Linked DNA regions of Arabidopsis thaliana. The protein of the gene in region 1 interacts with the protein of each later gene in a pairwise test. Each region holds a gene or a part of one and is shown in the gene's direction. Other genes may lie near its edges.

What was found. Proteins that work in one complex are often made in the same cells at the same time.
Region 2: the proteins of GSTU19 (region 1) and AT2G41820 interact in a protein complementation assay, tested with the Arabidopsis thaliana proteins (one large-scale study listed by BioGRID).

What each region holds. Positions count from the first base shown.
Region 1 is NC_003070.9:29,481,765-29,492,635, reverse strand, and holds GSTU19 (glutathione S-transferase TAU 19), read left to right. Parts: upstream 1-4,628; 5' UTR 4,629-4,816; coding exon 4,817-5,131; intron 5,132-5,632; coding exon 5,633-5,977; 3' UTR 5,978-6,249; downstream 6,250-10,871. Other genes in the region: NCED9 (nine-cis-epoxycarotenoid dioxygenase 9), read left to right, coding at 1-1,741; GSTU20 (glutathione S-transferase TAU 20), read left to right, coding at 7,432-7,746, 7,870-8,208; GSTU21 (glutathione S-transferase TAU 21), read left to right, coding at 9,670-9,987, 10,222-10,566. UniProt on the Arabidopsis thaliana protein: Catalyzes the glutathionylation of 12-oxophytodienoate (OPDA). In vitro, possesses glutathione S-transferase activity toward 1-chloro-2,4-dinitrobenzene (CDNB) and benzyl isothiocyanate (BITC), and glutathione peroxidase activity toward cumene hydroperoxide.
Region 2 is NC_003071.7:17,442,502-17,453,372, forward strand, and holds AT2G41820 (Leucine-rich repeat protein kinase family protein), read left to right. Parts: upstream 1-4,242; 5' UTR 4,243-4,668; coding exon 4,669-7,012; intron 7,013-7,084; coding exon 7,085-7,413; 3' UTR 7,414-7,607; downstream 7,608-10,871. Other genes in the region: AT2G41830 (Uncharacterized protein), read right to left, coding at 7,930-8,094, 8,196-8,435, 8,534-8,644, 8,732-8,869, 8,986-9,180, 9,355-9,482, 9,694-9,769, 9,913-10,062 and 1 more. UniProt on the Arabidopsis thaliana protein: Leucine-rich repeat receptor-like protein kinase that may play a role in vascular tissues development.

The sequences.
Region 1 (10,871 bases):
TAAACTTCAATCTCTATCTTTTTCCTCAACACTTAGAAACAAGAAACTAGTAGTCCCCTGCTATGTTTCTTCCTCCGTCAACAAAAAATCTTCCGTCTCGTCTTCTCTCCAATCTCCGACATTCAAACCACCGTCTTGGAAGAAACTATGTAACGATGTCACCAACTTGATCCCCAAAACGACGAATCAGAATCCAAAATTAAACCCGGTGCAGAGAACCGCCGCTATGGTTTTAGACGCGGTGGAAAACGCCATGATCTCACACGAGCGCCGCCGTCATCCCCATCCTAAAACGGCGGATCCTGCCGTCCAAATAGCCGGGAACTTCTTCCCGGTACCGGAGAAACCTGTCGTGCATAACCTTCCGGTGACTGGAACAGTACCAGAATGCATTCAAGGAGTTTACGTCAGAAACGGAGCAAATCCACTTCACAAACCAGTCTCCGGCCACCATTTGTTCGACGGAGACGGTATGGTACACGCTGTCCGGTTCGATAACGGCTCGGTTAGCTACGCTTGTCGGTTTACCGAAACAAACCGGTTGGTTCAAGAACGTGAATGTGGTCGTCCGGTTTTCCCCAAAGCAATTGGAGAGCTTCACGGACATTTAGGAATCGCCAAGCTTATGCTCTTCAATACCCGCGGGCTATTTGGGTTAGTCGACCCGACCGGAGGACTCGGTGTCGCTAACGCCGGTTTAGTTTATTTCAATGGTCATCTCTTAGCCATGTCCGAAGACGATTTACCGTACCATGTCAAAGTTACTCAAACCGGAGATTTAGAAACTTCGGGTCGGTACGATTTCGACGGTCAGTTAAAATCAACAATGATAGCCCACCCGAAAATCGATCCCGAAACCCGAGAACTCTTCGCTTTAAGCTACGACGTCGTTTCAAAGCCTTACTTAAAATACTTCAGATTCACATCCGACGGTGAGAAATCACCAGACGTCGAGATTCCGCTTGATCAACCAACGATGATCCACGATTTCGCGATCACTGAGAATTTCGTAGTGATTCCAGACCAACAAGTGGTATTCCGATTGCCGGAGATGATAAGAGGTGGTTCTCCGGTGGTTTACGACGAGAAGAAGAAATCAAGATTCGGGATTTTGAATAAAAACGCGAAAGATGCTTCGTCGATTCAATGGATCGAAGTACCAGATTGTTTTTGTTTCCATCTATGGAACTCTTGGGAAGAACCAGAAACAGACGAGGTTGTCGTGATTGGATCATGCATGACGCCACCTGATTCAATTTTCAACGAACACGACGAAACACTTCAGAGTGTTTTGTCGGAGATAAGGCTAAACCTTAAAACAGGGGAATCAACACGTAGACCGGTTATCTCGGAACAAGTTAATCTCGAAGCTGGTATGGTCAACCGGAATTTATTAGGTAGAAAAACCCGGTATGCTTATCTGGCTTTAACCGAACCGTGGCCTAAAGTGTCCGGTTTCGCTAAAGTGGACTTATCGACCGGAGAGATTCGAAAGTATATTTACGGAGAGGGGAAATACGGAGGAGAGCCTCTGTTTCTACCTTCCGGTGACGGAGAAGAAGACGGAGGTTACATAATGGTGTTCGTTCACGACGAGGAGAAGGTGAAATCGGAACTCCAACTCATAAACGCCGTTAATATGAAGCTTGAAGCTACCGTAACGCTTCCGTCGAGAGTGCCTTACGGTTTCCACGGAACGTTCATCAGTAAGGAAGATTTATCGAAGCAAGCTTTGTGTTAGTTTTAGATTTTTGTAGGATCTTATAAATGTTAATATGAGTGATAGTGATTAGTGACATAGGATTGTTGCCTGAGGGATTGTTATGCATTAGTCCCCGGCAACGAGTTTCTTGAATTTTAGTTATACGTATATACTGTGATTATGTATTATGTATATACTATGATCAAGTGTCCAATGATCCAACTGTGTACAAAGTTTTGTAGTAAAGTTTTAATTTACACACAGAATTTGTTAGCATAAAAATTTATAGATTTGATCAAAACTGATTTATTAAAGATGGTTATTAAAGTAGATTAAAGTGGAGTTATTGTTATAAACGATGAGAAAAATGCATTACTTATAAAAATAGCTAAATATAGTCGACACACTAAACTTGATTATCTTAGAAGGTTTATGCTGATATCTTTTCTATATTATGTAAGCTTCCCCAAATATCTCTGTGAGCTGCATGTGAATGAACTGTGTAGAGCTAGAGAAGCTTCTTATAGAAGGAATTTGACCTTCGAAAATGGAAACCCGAAAATATCTCATGTGATCTCTGTTTTGGGAATGAGGTCTACTTTAATCTTTCTGATCGTTCTTTGTCTTTTTTACAATTATCAACAACTTTTATTTATCTGCTCGTTTTTCGTCTGTTCGTTTTTTGTTCTTCTTGCAATAATTGGTATTACAAATTACGAAATTACCACAATACGAATTATTGTTTTTTTATTCTTCTTCTTTTAAAGTAAGAAATCCATATCCCTATACTTATATTTCGAAATTACATAAAAAAACTAACCTTGTATTTTATAAAATATTACTTAGGAATACCATTAGAAATAGAATTTAAAGGTCCAAACTAATTCAGTTCATTAAAATAAACAAGTCAAAACTTTATTTATGCAATTTAATTATAAACCAAAAAGATGCATTTATGGGTTTAACTTGTTGACAGCTTATTTTATTCATGAATTTACGTTGAGGTTGTTGCGATTTCTACTTTAAGCAAACGGGAAACATCTCACAGTTTTGACTTGTGATCTTTTATCCTACTCTTATTGGTTCTAAAGTGCATACACGTAAGCGTATACATAAGCACTCGCATTTCACAGTAGCCAATCGATTGATTCTAATCTTTGAACATGTAATACACTTCATGGCCACTCTTTTTTTCCGGGAACTATCTTTTTTTTTTGACATGGAAAAAGACCATTTTTTGATTTATAACGTGCATACTGCTGTGTCTTTTTTCTAAATAAATAGTTTTTATCAAATATGTAATCATACTAGGGAAAATCTCATCAAGATCATACGTATTTTTGTACATGACTTTTAAATAGTATATTCGCCGAAAAATACGTTGATGTCTCGGAATTTGACGCCTCAAAAACATTAGAATATACAAAATCAAGTAACGAGTTTGTAGGTTGAAACTAAAATGCCACGTAATACAGTGCGTAGGGTCCATTCGATGTTTCTAGATCAAAGTCTACACACTATAGAGACTTCCAGATACAGATACACATTCGAAATCATCAATGAAAAATAACAATTTAAGTATCTTCTTATCCTAATGTGTGTGTGCTTTTTTTTAGTCAACTATTTTGTGTATATTGTAAGATGTATCATGTTATGACATGAGTATGTTGCTACGTGTCGTGAGATATCGAACCCAACGCAGATATGAGTATGTTGAGCTAGTTTCTTCTTATGAAACAATCATATATGTCTATAATGAATAGATCACATTATCTGCCTGAAAAAAATCCCGTATATTACTCGACGAAATATAAATACCCAATGTAGCTGATTTTGCTTTCTCTGGTGACATATCCAATTTGGCTAAATTTGTTAACTAGTCTATTATAGGTTTATAATAGATCTAGCTATGTTAAAGATACTAAAGCATCAGTTACATAAATTTTTGGCGCGAGTTTATATCTTTTGGAATTAAAAATAAGAGAATTTAAAAATAAGAAGATCATTTTGTTTGGCCACAGGAGTTCTGAAAGGTCAGGTATGATTTTTTTCTTGCTCGCTCTTATGATTTTGTTTTTATTAATGGGTTTTCAAATAAGAAAAACTGTTTTTCGAAGCCCGGTTCAGATCCATTGTTTTTTGTAAAATATAGGCCCAATTCACCATAAGTCCATGACCAAAACAAAAATAAGATAGAACCAATACTGAACCAGGATCTTCTCTCGCTTTCGTGATCAATGTCGCCAAGCTTCTCGAGATCATGTGGTCACGTCAATTGTATAAATACAATTATTGACGTAACACAATCTCTACAGTTCCATCGAAATATCTCGAAAATTTCCAGTTAATTCTGGTAACGTGAACGTATCTTCCACCTCTTCAACCTACACAGCTTTCTAGAAATTTGGCTCGCTTTTCTAAGTCCTCTGTATTTTTTTGCACGTTTTTCAACTAAGTTTCAATATGAATCATTTCTTCTATAAATAAATGATATTTTCATCAGGTAATGATACATTGTGCCGAAATAAAACGTCAATACTCATTAGTCAAATTAATTGTTCACATAATTTAAAACTGTGTTAATCCATCCAGTTATTTTCTTACAACAAAATAATCTTTTCCATCAACTTTTAAAATAATTAAACGCAGTGCTAAGAAATCTAAAATCTTGATTTAGAAATCCATTATGGTTTCTGGTCAACTGAAATCCATAATTTCCTTTAACATCCAAAATCCAAATTTGCTACTATGATAATAGATTTCAGACGATTTTTTTTCTTTTTTCAATCATAGAGTCCACACGAATATTTGCAAGTTACTATATAAAACACTATAATGGTCAACAGATAAAAAAAAGGCGAATGAAGATATGTTACGTAAAAAGAAAATACTGTAATTATAAATTATTACTTTAAAAAGCTTTAAAATCTGGCCACATGTTTTTAAAGAGTGGTGTGACGTAACGACTAGAGTCAGCACAATCCATTATTGTATCATAAATATTCTCATCTATAAATTACCTAAACCCTTACAGGTAGTGTCCCAACCAAACAAATCGAGAAAGACGAACACTTACAAAAAAAAATCTCTTTGTGAGCTTTAGCGATCGTAACAATGGCGAACGAGGTGATTCTTCTTGATTTCTGGCCGAGTATGTTCGGGATGAGGACAAGGATCGCATTGAGGGAGAAAGGTGTTGAATTTGAGTACAGAGAAGAAGATCTAAGGAACAAGAGTCCTTTGCTTCTCCAGATGAATCCGATTCACAAGAAGATTCCTGTTCTCATCCACAATGGTAAACCGGTTAACGAATCTATCATCCAGGTTCAGTACATTGACGAGGTCTGGTCTCACAAGAACCCTATCCTTCCTTCTGATCCTTACCTGAGAGCTCAAGCTAGGTTCTGGGCTGATTTCATTGACAAGAAGGTATCTTATTTCCTTTGTGCCCTTGATTGAATAATGTTGAAATTGAACTTGGGATTTCATAAAAATTGAAACTTTAGTTGAGTTTGCTAGTGATTGGCTCAAATTTAGGGTTTTGCTTGTAGACTCGTCTTTGAGCTTGTATGGGTTTGTCTGATGTTATAATATTACTTGAGTTTGTAGTTGTTAGGGTTAGAGATCTCACCTCCAAATTTCAGATTTTTCTTGTGGACTCATCTCTGAGCTAGTCAGGGTTTGTCTTCTTAGATAGTTTAATGTTATGTTACTTGTGCAATTTGAGGTTTTTACATACTAGTTTCGCTAGTAGATATCATCTTTGAGCTTTGTTTGGGTTCATCTTAGATAGTTTGATGATATGTTTCTTTTGCAATTTGGGGGTCTCTAGGACTGGTTTTGCTTTGTAGACATCATCTTTGAGCTTTGTTTGGGTTCGACTGAGTTCTGACATAGCTTGGTGTTATGTTACTCTGTGCAATGTTTCAGCTGTATGATGCTCAGAGGAAGGTGTGGGCGACAAAGGGTGAGGAACAAGAGGCAGGGAAGAAGGATTTCATTGAGATACTCAAGACTCTTGAATCTGAGCTTGGAGACAAACCTTACTTTAGTGGCGATGACTTTGGCTATGTAGACATTGCGTTGATTGGATTCTACACATGGTTTCCAGCATACGAGAAGTTTGCTAACTTCAGTATCGAATCTGAGGTTCCGAAACTGATTGCTTGGGTTAAGAAGTGTTTGCAGAGGGAGAGCGTGGCTAAGTCCTTGCCTGATCCTGAGAAGGTTACTGAATTCGTCTCTGAGCTCAGGAAGAAATTTGTACCTGAGTAAATATGTTTCTCTTGTCATATGGTTCGGACTTAAGATGCTCTCTGTTTTACTTTCGTGTGTTGTCTTTCTTAAATAATGCAGAGCATCTGTGAGGTGGTTTGAGTGTAGAGAATGTATGTCTTTGCTGTAGCAGATTCCTGTGTTTTCTGGATTTAATGGCTTGTCCTAGTTTTTATGCATTGTAACTATGAGTTTAATTAATGATCGTTAATCTATAATGATTATTAATTTGTTACTTTGATATGTAATTACGCCAATACGACTCTTCTACCTGACCAAGCTTATCACGCCAATGTTGCTGTAAAAGACAATAGTGCAGTTTGGCGATTAAAACCTCCAACATCGAGAATGGTAAGCCGGTCTGGATCTAATAAGCCCAAATTGGCATCCATAAGCCCAAATTGAAATTGGCATCCATAACTCCATATTGTAGTCAATTGGAAGTTATGTGGTTGATGTGATCATTAGTGTCGGTATGATCAGATTAGCCACGGGTTTAGTGTTTCTTGCCGAATTTGAATTCGGTAGATCAAATAACATTACTATGATCCGCACAGTTCATGGGATTTGAATTTGATTTACGATTACAACAACGATATTAACACAGAACTATCCTGTAATTTTTGGGATCGATTAGTAAATTTTAAAATATTATTTCAAAGGCTTTATATATATAAAGAATTTAGAGTATAAACATAGATAAAGCATTATGTATTTATAAATCTTATGCTGATATTGAAAAAATAATGGTGTATGTGATATATTTAATAGAGTGCAATACTCTCTCAATAAATTAGTATAGCTGTTATCACTCCTTGTGTAAATGCGTATTTCTTGTACATGCATGGTAAGTAGCTTGTCCTCGTATGTACCGGATTGTAATGTTTGATATCAAATCAAGGGAATCACGTGGTAAATGTACACCCACCTAACTGAGAGATAATAATACAAACAACTGTGAGTAGGTGGCCACGCCAAAAGTAGAGACTGATGCAGCAACTAAGCAAAGTATTACTTCACTCGATCAACTTTTTATTTTGTTACCTTCTTATAAATCAAGTCGATTTCTATATTGTCAAGTACTAATTCCATTCTAATCTCTTACATATACGTTTAAGGTTTGAATCAGAGCAAAAGATAATCACACTCTTTTATATTAAGTGATGTTTTCACTAGTTGCACACATATGACAATTATTTAACAAAGTTGCAAAATACATTTTAAATCGTTACGGGTAAAAGCTTACTGTTTAAAAGATTTATATATGGACCATAATATGCTTTGAAAAAAGCTGATGTGACGTAACGGGAATCAAAATCCTTTCCACATCATTTTCTTCCCCTATAAAACAACCGTCACTCACTCCTTCTCTACTATAACACACACTCGCTTGTTCACGCACAACAAAAAGCAAGAATATATACCACTTTGTGAACTTCAGAGATCCTATAGCAATGGCGAACCTACCGATTCTTTTGGATTACTGGCCAAGTATGTTCGGGATGAGGGCTAGAGTTGCGTTGCGAGAGAAAGGTGTTGAGTTTGAATACAGAGAGGAAGATTTCTCGAACAAGAGCCCTTTACTCCTCCAGAGTAATCCCATTCACAAGAAAATCCCGGTTCTGGTCCACAACGGTAAACCGGTATGTGAATCTCTTAACGTTGTCCAGTACGTCGACGAGGCTTGGCCCGAGAAGAACCCGTTCTTCCCTTCCGATCCTTACGGGAGAGCTCAGGCTCGATTCTGGGCTGATTTCGTGGACAAGAAGGTAACTAATCCCTTTTGTGCCCTAGATTTCTTAACTTGAGTCTGAAACAATGTGATTTAGGGTTATCTGAAAAAATGAGTTTGGTTCCTTCTGACATAATTCGATGTTCTGTAATGGATTCAGTTCACCGACGCCCAATTCAAGGTATGGGGGAAGAAAGGTGAGGAACAAGAAGCAGGCAAGAAGGAATTTATTGAGGCAGTGAAGATTCTTGAATCTGAGCTAGGAGATAAACCTTACTTTGGTGGAGATAGCTTTGGGTATGTAGACATTTCCTTGATTACATTCTCGAGTTGGTTCCAAGCCTATGAGAAGTTTGGTAACTTTAGCATCGAGTCAGAGAGTCCGAAACTGATCGCTTGGGCAAAGCGGTGCATGGAGAAAGAGAGTGTGTCTAAGTCTCTCCCTGACTCTGAGAAGATTGTTGCATATGCTGCTGAGTATAGGAAGAACAATCTCTGATTTGAATAATCTTGTTGTTCTCTTGTTGCTAAGCTGTGTTCTGTTTTTGTCTTTGTTTTTTTTTTTCCCCTAATAATGCGAGAGAGCCTTAGTGAATGTGTGTTGTGGTTTTTATGCATCCTAAGTATGGAATTTAAATAAAATTTGTTTCGACTTAAAGAGTCCAAGTATGAAGTCACATCCTTTTCAAAAGAACAAACACAAGAAAAAGTTGGAATTCTTTTTTCTTTTTCTACTTGTCTAGTACCGCGTATACGAAAATAGTATAACACCCAGCAATTAATAAAGTAGATGGCCACGTTACAATCATGCAAGTAGTGGCTCTGCAAACATAAGATAAAAAGAAATTGGGTTCTCAGCCACTTTTGGGAGGACATGCAGACTAAAGCACTCTCTAAACTCCGCTTAGAGGGAAAACAAAAAGACACCTCTGATCTATTATCACTATTATTAGGGTTTTTTTGTTTGTTTTTCTTTTCTTTGCTTCTTAAGAGATAATACATTGATCACTAACATAAAAGCTGGTCAGTTCCCTTACTTTGAGGCTTTGAGTGGAGACTCCACTACGGTGTGGCTCACACCAACAGTTTTTCTCTGATTATCCTTTTGTCATCAACTCACCATTCACCGAATAATATAATTTATACGTGTGATCTTTGTTTCGAAGATCAATACAATTCTATTGTAAAACATATGGTTTCGGTCATTCGATTGCTAGAAAAGAACTAGTCAAAGCTTCATATCGTTATTGCATTACTGTCATCACCATTCATAAGTTGTAAGAAGAATAGCAAAGAGGAAAATTTGTATTTTTCATCACCAAAAGAAAGATTTGCATACCTTTGATTTACACTCTGCAATTGTTTAAAAGGGGACTACTGATGATATTTTTAACAAGCTGAATTTAGTACAATATAGTGATATATACACCATTAGCAGCATTATAAAGCTACTCTCATTAAACTAAGAATGAAGGAAATAATAAACTTACCAAAATTTAAAATTGGTTTAATATGGTTGGCCAAAAGGTTCAGATGCTCTGTTTCGAGTAAAAATCACCGCCAAAGTAATAAAACATCCCTTTCACTATCCTGCTTGTAATTTTTTCTCTCGGCAGAAGATGACATCATTCATCAATAACATATTTTATAACCTTGATTTATCAGACTGCTATTTTCTCAAAAGGTACTTATCAAACTACTATGGTAAAATATTTATGGTTTCTATAACCACCACTAGCATTATTAAACTACTAGTCTACGAGATATCATAACGTTACCATAAAACTAATGAAAGAAATGATAAAAATTCCACACTTTGATATTTTTTTAAAAGGTTTAATATGATTGACCAAAACGTTTAATAATTTCGAATGGACATGTTACCCTTATTAACAGCCTAACGATGCTACACATTTTAATAAGATACGACTCAATAGAAAAAGCTTCACGGATCGAAACCATGGCAGCCGAAGTGATCCTTCTCGGTTTCTGGCCGAGCATGTTCGGAATGAGGACGATGATCGCGTTAGAGGAGAAAGGAGTGAAGTATGAGTATAGAGAAGAGGATGTGATCAATAACAAGAGTCCCTTGCTACTAGAGATGAATCCGATTCACAAGACAATCCCGGTTCTCATCCACAATGGTAAACCGGTTCTTGAATCCCTTATCCAAATCCAATATATAGACGAGGTTTGGTCTGACAACAACTCATTTCTCCCTTCTGATCCTTACCATAGAGCTCAAGCTTTATTTTGGGCCGATTTCATCGACAAGAAGGTAAACAACAAGTGTCATTAAATTTCACTGTCCTTGACTGTAATTTGTTTTTGAGATCCTTAACAATATATGGAGTTTGTGGGAGTTTAAGTTACAAGGAGTTTCAACTACAAACCTAACAGTATTAGACGAGTTAAAGAAAAGATATTGGAATTGAAAGATTTCAGATGATAGAACTTTAGGGTTTTGCTTGTAACTCATTTGTGCGTATGTTCCCTGTGCCACAAGGAACAGTTGTATGTTTGTGGGAGGAAGACTTGGGCAACGAAAGGTGAGGAGCTAGAAGCAGCCAATAAAGAGTTTATTGAAATACTCAAGACTCTTCAATGTGAGCTCGGAGAAAAACCTTACTTTGGCGGCGATAAATTCGGGTTTGTAGACATTGTCCTGATTGGATTCTATAGTTGGTTTCCAGCATACCAGAAGTTTGGTAACTTCAGCATCGAACCAGAGTGTTTGAAGCTGATTGCTTGGGGAAAAAGATGTATGCAAAGAGAGAGTGTGGCTAAAGCTTTGCCTGATTCTGAGAAAGTTGTTGGATACGTTTTACAGCTTAAGAAGTTATATGGAATTGAGTAAGGATCTCTCTAAATTGCCGTTTCCTGTTCTGTTTAGCTATTTGTTGTGTTGTGATGTGTGTTTCTGATAATGAAATGAAGTCTTTGTTCGAAATTCGGATGCTTTGTTTTGTTGAAATTCGATGTTTGGTCTGAATTCAATGCATATAGATGTAAATTTTGTATCATCAGTTTTTCTTAGATCTTCATCGTTGCTAACCACTACATCGACGTATAAATAACACTTTATCATGATTTCCCTTGTTGATTGTCTTGCATGATTTCCCTTGTTGATTTATCTCTTTGGATTTAGATCATTTCAAAAGA
Region 2 (10,871 bases), on another chromosome or scaffold:
ATAGAGACTGCAGTTAGTAATATCGATATAAATTACTATCTTATTCTTACGAGTGTTGATTCATTCATTCTATATAAATATTACTGGGATTTGTGTTTTTAATTGGTTAAGAAAGTCGTAAGAAAAGGTTGCTTTTCGGGATTATATAGTTGACGACCAATTAGTAAAATTAAAAGTATTAATTTGGGCAACTAATGAGGAAATAGATGAAACGTATATGAAGAAAAAGAGGATATATAACAAGAAGAGAGATGGTTCTTCTAGTGAATTTTTGTATCATTGTCATTGTATGATCGATTTCGGTTCGGGTGAGATTAGATCATATCAAATATGATAACTTTTAAAGATATCTATGACTCCTGCAGTGCGCACTAAACCAGCTAGAGTTTTTTTTAATTCCGATCTCATCTATTTTTTTACTCCTTTTTAATTTGTCAACTTTCGGCTGTCTTCCCATGTTCATGTATTAATCAACGATTACATCTTATAACATACGGAACTATGGATCTGGATCCCATCATGTGGATTTGAAAAAGTCAGCGATCTTTCTTATCCGTATAATCGTCAACAGACGAAGGATCCATGTGGAAGACGAATTATTCCAAGAAAAAAGAAAGTATGAAGCATATACACCAAACTGAAATATAACTTAATTTGTCACGTACCAAATTGGGATTGGTGTTTAGGTTTTGACTGAAAGAGGAAGAAGAGGAAATGAAACGTTGTTGGGGATCTTATTTATACACATCCATGATCCAGTTGGTGTTGGTCCCGCAGTTTATTTTGGAAAATAAGATCCCAGTGTCTAAAACGAATGGTTATTCTTTTTTTTCCTAGATCTCCTTTCCACACTTGAAGCCTTCCATAAACCTAATCTAGCTGAACGGTTCCAGCTTTTCTCATTACAGTGCTTTCCCTCCGTTCTCTTCCACTAATTACTTGTGTTTCTCTGTTTCACATACTATAAGTTGTTTTTATTAAACATCGAAAGCCTTGAGAGGATTTATGTAAAAAGAAAAAGACCCAAAAATGAAACTAAAGGAAAATGAAGGTAGTGAGTAGCGACTTTGTAACGGTGTAGATGTGAGTTTTTCGAATCCAATCTTCTGAAAATGACACCGTGTAAAATCTTTACAGTAGCCCAGCCCATTTAGGCCCAACATACGAACTCCGTTCCGTTTCGATTTGAAGTTGTTTTCTTGAAACGTTTTTTTATGTAAATTCAGGACCCTTTGATTCAACAAGTTTGAAAAAATAGGATTTGTTGTTTTTTCATTATTATGGAATTAATGTTGAAAAGTGATAGGAAAACAAAGAAATGTCGATGAATGCGTAAAAGAAGAGGGACAGACCATGATCCAAAGGTCATGATATGTGTCCGATAAAGGGAGAACTAAGTCTCAATCAATATTACTGCCAAAAACATATTTCTATGAAATTTTCTAATCACTTTCTTTTGAAAAGCTAATAGAAAACAAATAGAAAAAAATGATGAAAATAATCAACAAAAAGTGGGGATAGCTTTCTTTCAACCTTCCACATGCCCCATTTGGTATCACTACAAGATGGACAGCCGAGTCATGTCCTTTTGACATTTCCTCTTTGTTTTTAAATTTTATATTCCTCCTTCACTAGTAGAAAAATCTTAGGAATTTTAGGGAGGCTAATTAACAACTTTACGTTTTGGTAATTGTGGAATCAACCATGATAATCTTATATTATTCGATATTAATCAAAATATGGCTTAAATAGTTAAAACTCACACATAAGTCCATAAGTTCCAATTGTATAATATTATACTTTTAATAAATTATATTATATTTATACATATGAATAAAAAGGAAGGTTTCAGGAATTCATGGTTACAAAATGAGTTTAAAAAGATGAACATTTCCCCCAAAACACTAATTAGATCGTACGGTTGGTGAGCCTAAAGAAGTAGTGCTACTAATAAATGAGAATAATAGTTTTTGGTACGACATCCCACAAATCCTTAATGATGAGAGCATAAATCTCGGCATAATCTTCGTTTCAAGAGTTCGAAAGCATATTCATGAATATTCACAAATGATTACGCAGAAAGTCAGTTTGATAGGTAAAGCATCCATAAGCTAATGACTAAGTTTTCATTGTAATCATTGGTTAACATTTTCTCTAACAATGTTAATTATTGAAAATTTAAAACAATTAACTACACTTCTTATCTCCCCTTCTTCACGAGTTTAAAGCGACGAGGTGCTTCCATCATTATGTCTTCTCTTTTTCTTGTTGCTCTTCTTATGATTCGTCTTTAACTCATTCGCCTATTTGTGAAAAAAATAGATTGCTTGAAAAGCATAAAACTAATCAACTGAAAAAATGTATATGCATAATTAAAAATCAATTCATAGAAAAATTCAGTCGTACTTTCGTCAATTCATGGATTTATTTTTTGTTGTAGCTAAAACTTCAGTTGTACTACCAAAACAAGAAGAAGTTCAACGTCTTGTTGATAGTATCATGAGTTGTGAAAACTCACGTGAAAAGAAATGTAACTATGTAATAAAGTTTTTTATAGTATTAATAGAATAAAACTTGCTTAATTGGTGGTGTTATTTATATATACTTAATTAGGCAATTAGGTTTCAAGAAGAGGAAAAAAACGATGGGACGGAGGTGGTGAGTGGTGGTGGTCGGAGCAGACAAAGAAGGGTCCTACAATTTGCCTAACCGTAAAGAGCCACATTCCTTTTTCTTTTACCCCATCCCGTGAGTGAACCCCACTCTTCCTCATTCTATTATTCTCAATCTATATTTTCAAAAATAAACATAAATATACAAACTCTTTGCAGCATAAAGGAATATGTTGATAAAACGGAGCTTTGTTTATGATTTTGTTTCATTATGATATATTTTTTTTAAAACATTTACCAACAATTTCTTAGAAACATAAATTAAGAGCTAACTAGTATATCTAGTATTTCTCGAAACCCAAACTCATGTTCTTAATTTTTTATTTTTTTCTGGAATGTTAATGACTATCGGATATTTGAGTATAATTGTATGAATTTGCTTGACTGTTGCATACTTTGAATCTTTCTTTCTAGTTTACAATTGTGCAAATTAAATCAAACTCGTTTTCAGTATTTTACCTTTTAGTACTATACTTAATTATGTCATCTGTATCAGGTAATAGTTAGAGGAAAGAGGAAAATGGTGTAATATAAACAACAATTATTTGTATGTGAGTTTACGACCATCATCTAGCTTAAAGTACACACCAATGAGAATATGAACACAGTTTAGCTCAACTCATATATGATCTATCCGACATCTTTTCAATGTTTTGGGTCGCGTAGGAGTATCGGAAGCAGCTTAAGACATAGCTATTTAATAAATTGTTGGTATGTTTTATTTATAACAATTATCACAAAATCAAAAGATACTAATCTCGCTGTTTGAGGCAGACATCTGAGAAAACATGTCTTCTACCAACATTCAAGATTTGACAAATCGTTGTTTACGTATTGTTATATTGAGCATCTTACAACAAAAATTTACGTGTATTTTGAAACTCGGAAATCAATCATATCTATTGATATTAACACACAGTGTTTCCTGACTATCGTCGCAGACGAATAATAATAGTAATAATCTTCCACCTCGTGTGATTCTATAATCTTATATTCTTGACATAAATGTCGTCAAAATTTGGTATACATCAAACATGGATCGTGTTTAAAGTAATCATCAAAAATCACCACACGAGAGTAGATTCCCTATTGTCAAATATAGATCAAAGAGAAAACATGTAGGCTACAAATATAACCTAGTCCCTACGAATAAGAAAAATGTCATTATACCACAAATGATAACTGCAAAGTGTGTGTAAATTTTGATTTTAAAAGAAGGTAAAAAAATAAAAAAGATAGATTTGGAAACAATCTTTTACCTCTTTGGTATTGAACATTGTGACAGTATCAATCAGTATGGTACAGAAAAAACGTCAGAGGAAAAGAATTATCAAAAAACGTACACTCTTCATTTTCATTAAAATCTTTTTTTTTTCTTCCAAAAAACAAAAGCAGAAAAAATGTGTCAGAAAGATTTATGCAGCTTTCATTCATTCATCACTTGCACTGTCTCGTGAAGAAAATTAAACTTTTTTGTATCAGAAATTAATTACATTAAAAGAAAAGAAAAAAAAAATTCCCTCCTTTCCAAGTGCGTTTGCTTTGTGGAGTCTCTCTCTTCTCTCTCTCTGTCTGTGTGTGAAGTGAGAGGATCTTTGTTTGGTTCTGCAATCATAATTTCGTGATATACTAAAAAAAATGCAATTTCCTCTTCTCTCTTATAAGCAGAGACCCTACTACTCTTTGATCGAATTTTCCTTGCTCTCTTCTCTTTGTTCTCTCATGTTTTTTTCTCCCTAAATTTATGGGCTTTGCTCTCTCTCTAAGCCACACTCACACTCTAAAGCACTCGTCTTTCTTCTTCTTTTTCTTCAGAAACAGTTATTTTGACTTGAAAAACCAGAGCTTTAATCCTGGATTCATGGCAAAAAGAGCATTACTTTTCTTTTCCTCTCTCACTTTCTTGTTTCATTTGGCTTAAAAATTCAATGATAATTTTGTATTTGGGGGAAAGAAGAAGAAGAACAAGAGTGTGTGATTGATTCAATTCTTAAAAATGACATTTTGGTGTATGTCAATTCTTCTGATTGTTGGGTTCTTATCAAAATCTGAGCTTTGTGAAGCTCAACTAAGCGATGAAGCCACATTGGTTGCGATTAATAGAGAGCTTGGAGTTCCAGGATGGAGTAGTAATGGCACTGACTATTGTACTTGGGTTGGGCTTAAGTGTGGTGTCAACAACTCTTTTGTTGAAATGCTTGATCTCTCAGGGCTTCAGCTTAGAGGTAATGTTACTCTAATCTCTGACCTCAGAAGCTTAAAGCATCTAGATCTTTCTGGTAACAACTTCAATGGACGAATTCCTACTTCTTTTGGCAACTTGTCTGAGCTTGAGTTTCTTGATTTGTCTCTGAATCGTTTTGTTGGAGCGATTCCGGTTGAGTTTGGTAAGCTTAGAGGGCTTAGAGCATTCAACATTTCTAATAACTTGCTTGTTGGAGAGATACCTGATGAGCTTAAGGTTCTAGAGAGGTTAGAGGAGTTTCAGGTCTCTGGAAATGGGTTAAATGGTTCTATACCTCACTGGGTAGGGAATCTGAGCAGTCTCAGGGTGTTTACAGCTTATGAGAATGATTTGGTGGGTGAGATACCGAATGGGTTAGGTTTGGTTTCTGAGTTGGAATTGTTGAATCTTCACTCAAACCAACTTGAGGGGAAGATTCCAAAAGGGATTTTTGAGAAAGGGAAGCTTAAAGTTTTGGTCTTGACACAGAATAGATTGACCGGTGAACTCCCTGAAGCAGTAGGAATCTGCAGCGGCCTCTCGAGCATTAGAATTGGGAATAACGAGCTTGTGGGAGTCATTCCGAGGACAATCGGGAACATTAGTGGACTTACTTACTTTGAAGCAGACAAGAACAATCTTTCAGGTGAGATTGTTGCAGAGTTCTCCAAGTGTTCTAATCTCACTCTGCTGAATCTGGCAGCTAATGGGTTCGCTGGAACCATTCCAACAGAGCTTGGTCAGCTCATTAATCTTCAAGAACTGATTCTCTCAGGTAATAGTCTCTTTGGGGAGATCCCTAAGTCGTTTCTTGGAAGTGGAAACCTAAACAAGCTTGATTTGAGTAACAACAGACTCAACGGAACCATCCCAAAGGAACTCTGCAGCATGCCAAGGCTACAGTATTTACTTCTTGATCAAAATTCCATAAGAGGAGACATACCTCATGAGATTGGAAACTGTGTGAAGCTACTTCAGCTCCAACTGGGTCGAAATTACTTGACGGGAACCATTCCTCCTGAGATTGGTCGCATGAGGAATTTGCAGATAGCACTCAACTTAAGTTTCAACCATCTTCATGGATCATTGCCTCCCGAGTTAGGAAAACTCGACAAGCTCGTGTCATTGGATGTCTCTAACAATTTGCTCACAGGATCCATACCGCCACTACTAAAAGGTATGATGAGTTTGATCGAGGTTAATTTCTCAAACAACCTTTTGAATGGTCCAGTGCCAGTCTTTGTTCCCTTTCAAAAGTCTCCAAATTCGAGCTTTTTGGGAAACAAAGAGCTTTGTGGAGCACCATTGAGCTCTTCTTGTGGATATTCTGAAGATCTTGACCATTTGAGATATAATCACAGAGTCTCCTACAGAATTGTGCTCGCAGTGATTGGTTCTGGTGTAGCTGTCTTTGTATCAGTCACTGTGGTTGTTCTTCTCTTCATGATGAGGGAGAAACAAGAGAAAGCAGCGGCTAAAAATGTTGATGTTGAAGAAAATGTTGAGGATGAGCAACCAGCAATTATCGCGGGAAATGTCTTCCTTGAAAATCTTAAACAAGGAATTGATCTTGATGCAGTTGTGAAAGCAACTATGAAGGAGTCAAATAAACTCAGTACGGGAACTTTCAGTTCAGTTTATAAAGCCGTTATGCCTTCGGGGATGATTGTTTCGGTGAAGAAACTCAAGTCTATGGATAGAGCCATATCTCATCATCAGAACAAGATGATCAGAGAACTCGAAAGACTCAGCAAACTTTGCCATGACCATTTGGTTAGACCGATAGGGTTTGTTATATACGAAGACGTTGCTCTCTTGTTGCATCAGCATTTACCTAATGGTAACTTAACTCAGCTGATTCATGAGTCCACCAAGAAACCAGAGTACCAACCTGACTGGCCAATGAGACTGTCCATAGCTGTTGGAGCAGCAGAAGGTTTAGCATTTCTCCACCAAGTCGCCATCATTCACCTCGACGTTTCCTCTAGCAACGTCTTGCTAGACTCTGGTTACAAAGCCGTGCTTGGGGAAATCGAAATATCGAAACTTCTAGATCCCTCTAGAGGCACCGCGAGTATTAGCTCAGTTGCAGGCTCTTTTGGCTACATTCCACCAGGTATAAAGTCTTAATTTTGTTACCAGTAACTTTATACAAAATCCAACACTTTCCCTTGGTTTATTTCTGCAGAGTATGCATACACAATGCAAGTTACAGCTCCGGGGAATGTTTACAGTTATGGAGTTGTGTTGCTTGAGATTCTAACCTCAAGAGCGCCGGTGGAGGAAGAGTTTGGTGAAGGAGTAGATTTGGTGAAATGGGTCCATGGAGCTTCAGCGAGAGGAGAAACACCGGAACAGATACTCGATGCCAAGCTTAGCACCGTGTCTTTTGCTTGGAGGAGAGAGATGCTTGCAGCTCTGAAAGTTGCATTGCTTTGCACAGACATCACACCTGCAAAAAGGCCAAAGATGAAGAAAGTAGTTGAAATGCTTCAAGAGGTTAAGCAAATCAAATGAGCAAATGAATATATAGTTTCCTCTTGTGACATTCATATACAAAAGAAAACGCATTCCTATATATGCGAGCTTCTCCTCTGTGTATTATATAGGTTTTTATGATAAAATTGATCCGCTTATGGTTGATTTACTTATCCAATGACACAAATTATAAATTAGATCATAGAAGAACCAATGTACATCTTGAGGGAAACTGTTCAACAAAGCATCTGTTGTAGAATCTTAAGATTACAATACCATGTGAAAACCAGATGGCCTCTTTCAATTTTTTACACATCACACCAAAAAGAAACAAGAATTGGACAAAAGAATAAGTGAAAAGAGAAGATAGGAGTAAAAACCTAGGAGGAATGATCTAATTATAGCACGACGGAGATAATTCCGATTTATGATGCTAAAGAATCTATAAAAACGTAACCCAAGACTTTGAAAACCAAGCAAACCTATTTTTGTTATGTTTTGTTTGAGTTCTTGACTGGAATTCAAAGCCAAACATGGTTTGGATCCTGCCGATGATCAACAGCCAGCAGCTTTAAGGAAGTTGTCGTAAGGGCTTGAGGCTGGTAGTCTAAATGCTTGTGGGTTATTTTGTAGTTCTGCATAGCACGGTGACTGAATAGTTCCCACTGGTGTTCTTGGCGATTTCATGTCGAATTCTTTCGACAGTAAAGGGACTTCGACCTAAACAAATTTCAGTAATCAATACAAAAATGGTTAAACAGTTATCTTGGAATATGAAACCGGAGGCTATCCACAGGAATTCATAGCGAAGGCATACATACCCCAGTATGAAATGCTGAATTGATCATAGGATGAAAAGATGCAATCTTGATCTCTTCATCATGTTGTCGTGGAGAGCAGTTAACAGAACTCTCATGTCGTAGCTGAGAATTTAAAAGACTCGAGATCTTCTGCTGTTTTCCCATTAACAGATTCTCACAATGCAGCGTCATCTCTTTGTATGAAGCATCGGCTGCAGTATGGAAGGAAATTCTACCCACTTGACGTGTTGTCTCTACGACCTTCAAACAATACAAAATAAGTATAGTTTATAGTGTGCTGTTACTTTTGATGAAGACTTTGTAATCTAGTTTCTAGGAAGCTGAAAAATGTAACTTACAGATTCTAGAATTTGATTGACGGTCAGGAGGTCTGGGATTTCAGAAAATGTTACATGATTGTTCTTTGTAACGGTTTCGGTGCCATCTCCAAACTCTTGATCCTCCGCGTCCTGAAGACACAGATGCAACATATTTCAATCTTATGTTCAGCTCGAGGTTTTCAGAGAATATTATGGGAAGCAAAAGAAGGAAGTTACCTCCTTTCGAGGTTTAACATCACCAGAATCAATCTGATAGGTTTTGTGGGTATCTTCTAAAAACCGGGTACCAAGTGGACATGCATCATCTGGCATAAATTCTGTGAGCAACTGCTCTCGCATTTTGTCCATTTCAGACTGGAAACAGTTTAACTTTTGTTAGTCTACTGTGTCTATCAATTGATTTATCAAAATATGAATGGTAAGCTCGGGTAGAGTAATTTAGTTGGGAGGTTGTGACTGGGAACACTTACATTGCACATATCTTCTAAGCTCTTGACGATTTCATAGACAAGGGTTCCTCTGCTATGCTCAGTGGACAGTGCTATGTTTGAAAGAGTATCTAAAGCTGAAGCATCATCTTTTTCGCATCCATAAGCAACTTTTAGCTGATCTGAATTTACAGCCTTCAACTTGTGATCGTCAACCAAGTTCAAGAATGGGTCAAGCTGAATCAGGCAAAAGAAGAAGTTAATGAAAAATGGTAAGTAAATTTCTCTCTGTGTATAGAGGCTATCATAGGAATATTGAACATAGAAGTCTGGGGCGACTGTCAAGAGCACGATAATAGTCTTTTTTGGCAAATTGAGTTGCGTGATATTTTACTAGAATGATCAACGTACCCTTGGTCCCTGAAGTGTTACTTTTGTAAAATCCGCCAGAGAAAAAAGATTGAATGCTTTTGAGGAAAAAAGAACCATTGATGCAGCCAGTGTAAAAAGTGACCTTCGTCGAGATGGAGGAAGTGGTCCTGAAATAGTAGGAACAAAATGACTAAGTTTCTTTTAGATGATGTTCAAACATAGCTCTCCCTCGTTTTAAACATAATTTCTATACGGCCATTTACTGCATACATGATATGTCTCGTAGGAAATTGCAATAAGAGTCTACATCAGGGTTTCCAAACCAAAAACCAAGGATAAATATCTAGCAGGGAGGAATCAAAACATGTGGAAGCTCACCTCCTTCCATCAATGAAATATCTCGCAAAGAAAGTGCCATTTGGAAACTTCGAATCAAAGCGTCATGACTTGAGTTCTGAAAGATTCAAATTTTGTGAATGTTTAACATAAAGTTGGAAGCAAATAATTCATACGGAGATCTAGTGAGACTTAGCTCATAGATCATAAAAACAATAAGAAACAGTCAGATGCAGAGATATTGAGGTATGAATATGTTACCTTAACACGAGAGAACAACAATACAAGACTGTAGGTGTTAGCAATTGCCTCATAATTGTCTGGTGTATTTGCAGGAGATATGGACTGTGCCCAGATTGATGAAAGCAAAAGACCTATCTGGTGACTACTTAGTCTTATATGAACAACATCCTGAGGAGCATATAAGAAATATTATTAGAGAGTGAAGATTGATCCAAGGTGTACCTAAGAATTGTAAGCATAAATCAAGAATTTGTATATAATTAGAACCGTAGTTAGTAGGACACACAAATTTATTGTGGTTTCAAGAAGCTACTTTGTATTCATTTATTATATATACTGTTGGTCCCATCCTGAAGCTATTTTGAGAGACTTGGGAAATTTTCTGACTTACGTATATATAGAACTCTAGGGTCCCATTTAAGGTCAATAAGAAATGTACTACTCTTCTAGTAAGCTTTTTCACACAAAGAAGGTTGCAAGGATGTACCAGCTCAGAGTTTAAAAGATCCACAGAGTTATCTACTACCGAGGTCAATGGTTGATTCCAAGTGCTATATGCCTGACGGTATGAAGATTTCAATCTGTCAAGGATTTCCCCCGTACTGCTTCCACGTTCTTCCTCAGGCATTCCGTTTTGACTATGATCAGAAGTCAGCATCGATGAAAATTTATCCTTCTTCAGCTTCTCGAATAGGGCTGCTGAGGAGGAAAAGACAGAAGCGGTCCTTGAAAGTGAACGAGGAAGACCCATTCCTTTCTTAAGGTCAGTAGTGGTCGAGGAAGGACGAGGGCAGACTGAGGTTGGTACCAGCACAACAGAAAATATACGGTGAGCACCAATCCGTGTTTTATGATCTGGATGGACCATAGCTTGAAGTAACTGATGAAACAAGGCCTCGGGAAAAGCCTGAAACGAAAAGAGTAATAAAAGCTTAGCAATTTCATGAAAATTGGTCTAATCTCGCAAAGAAAAGAGA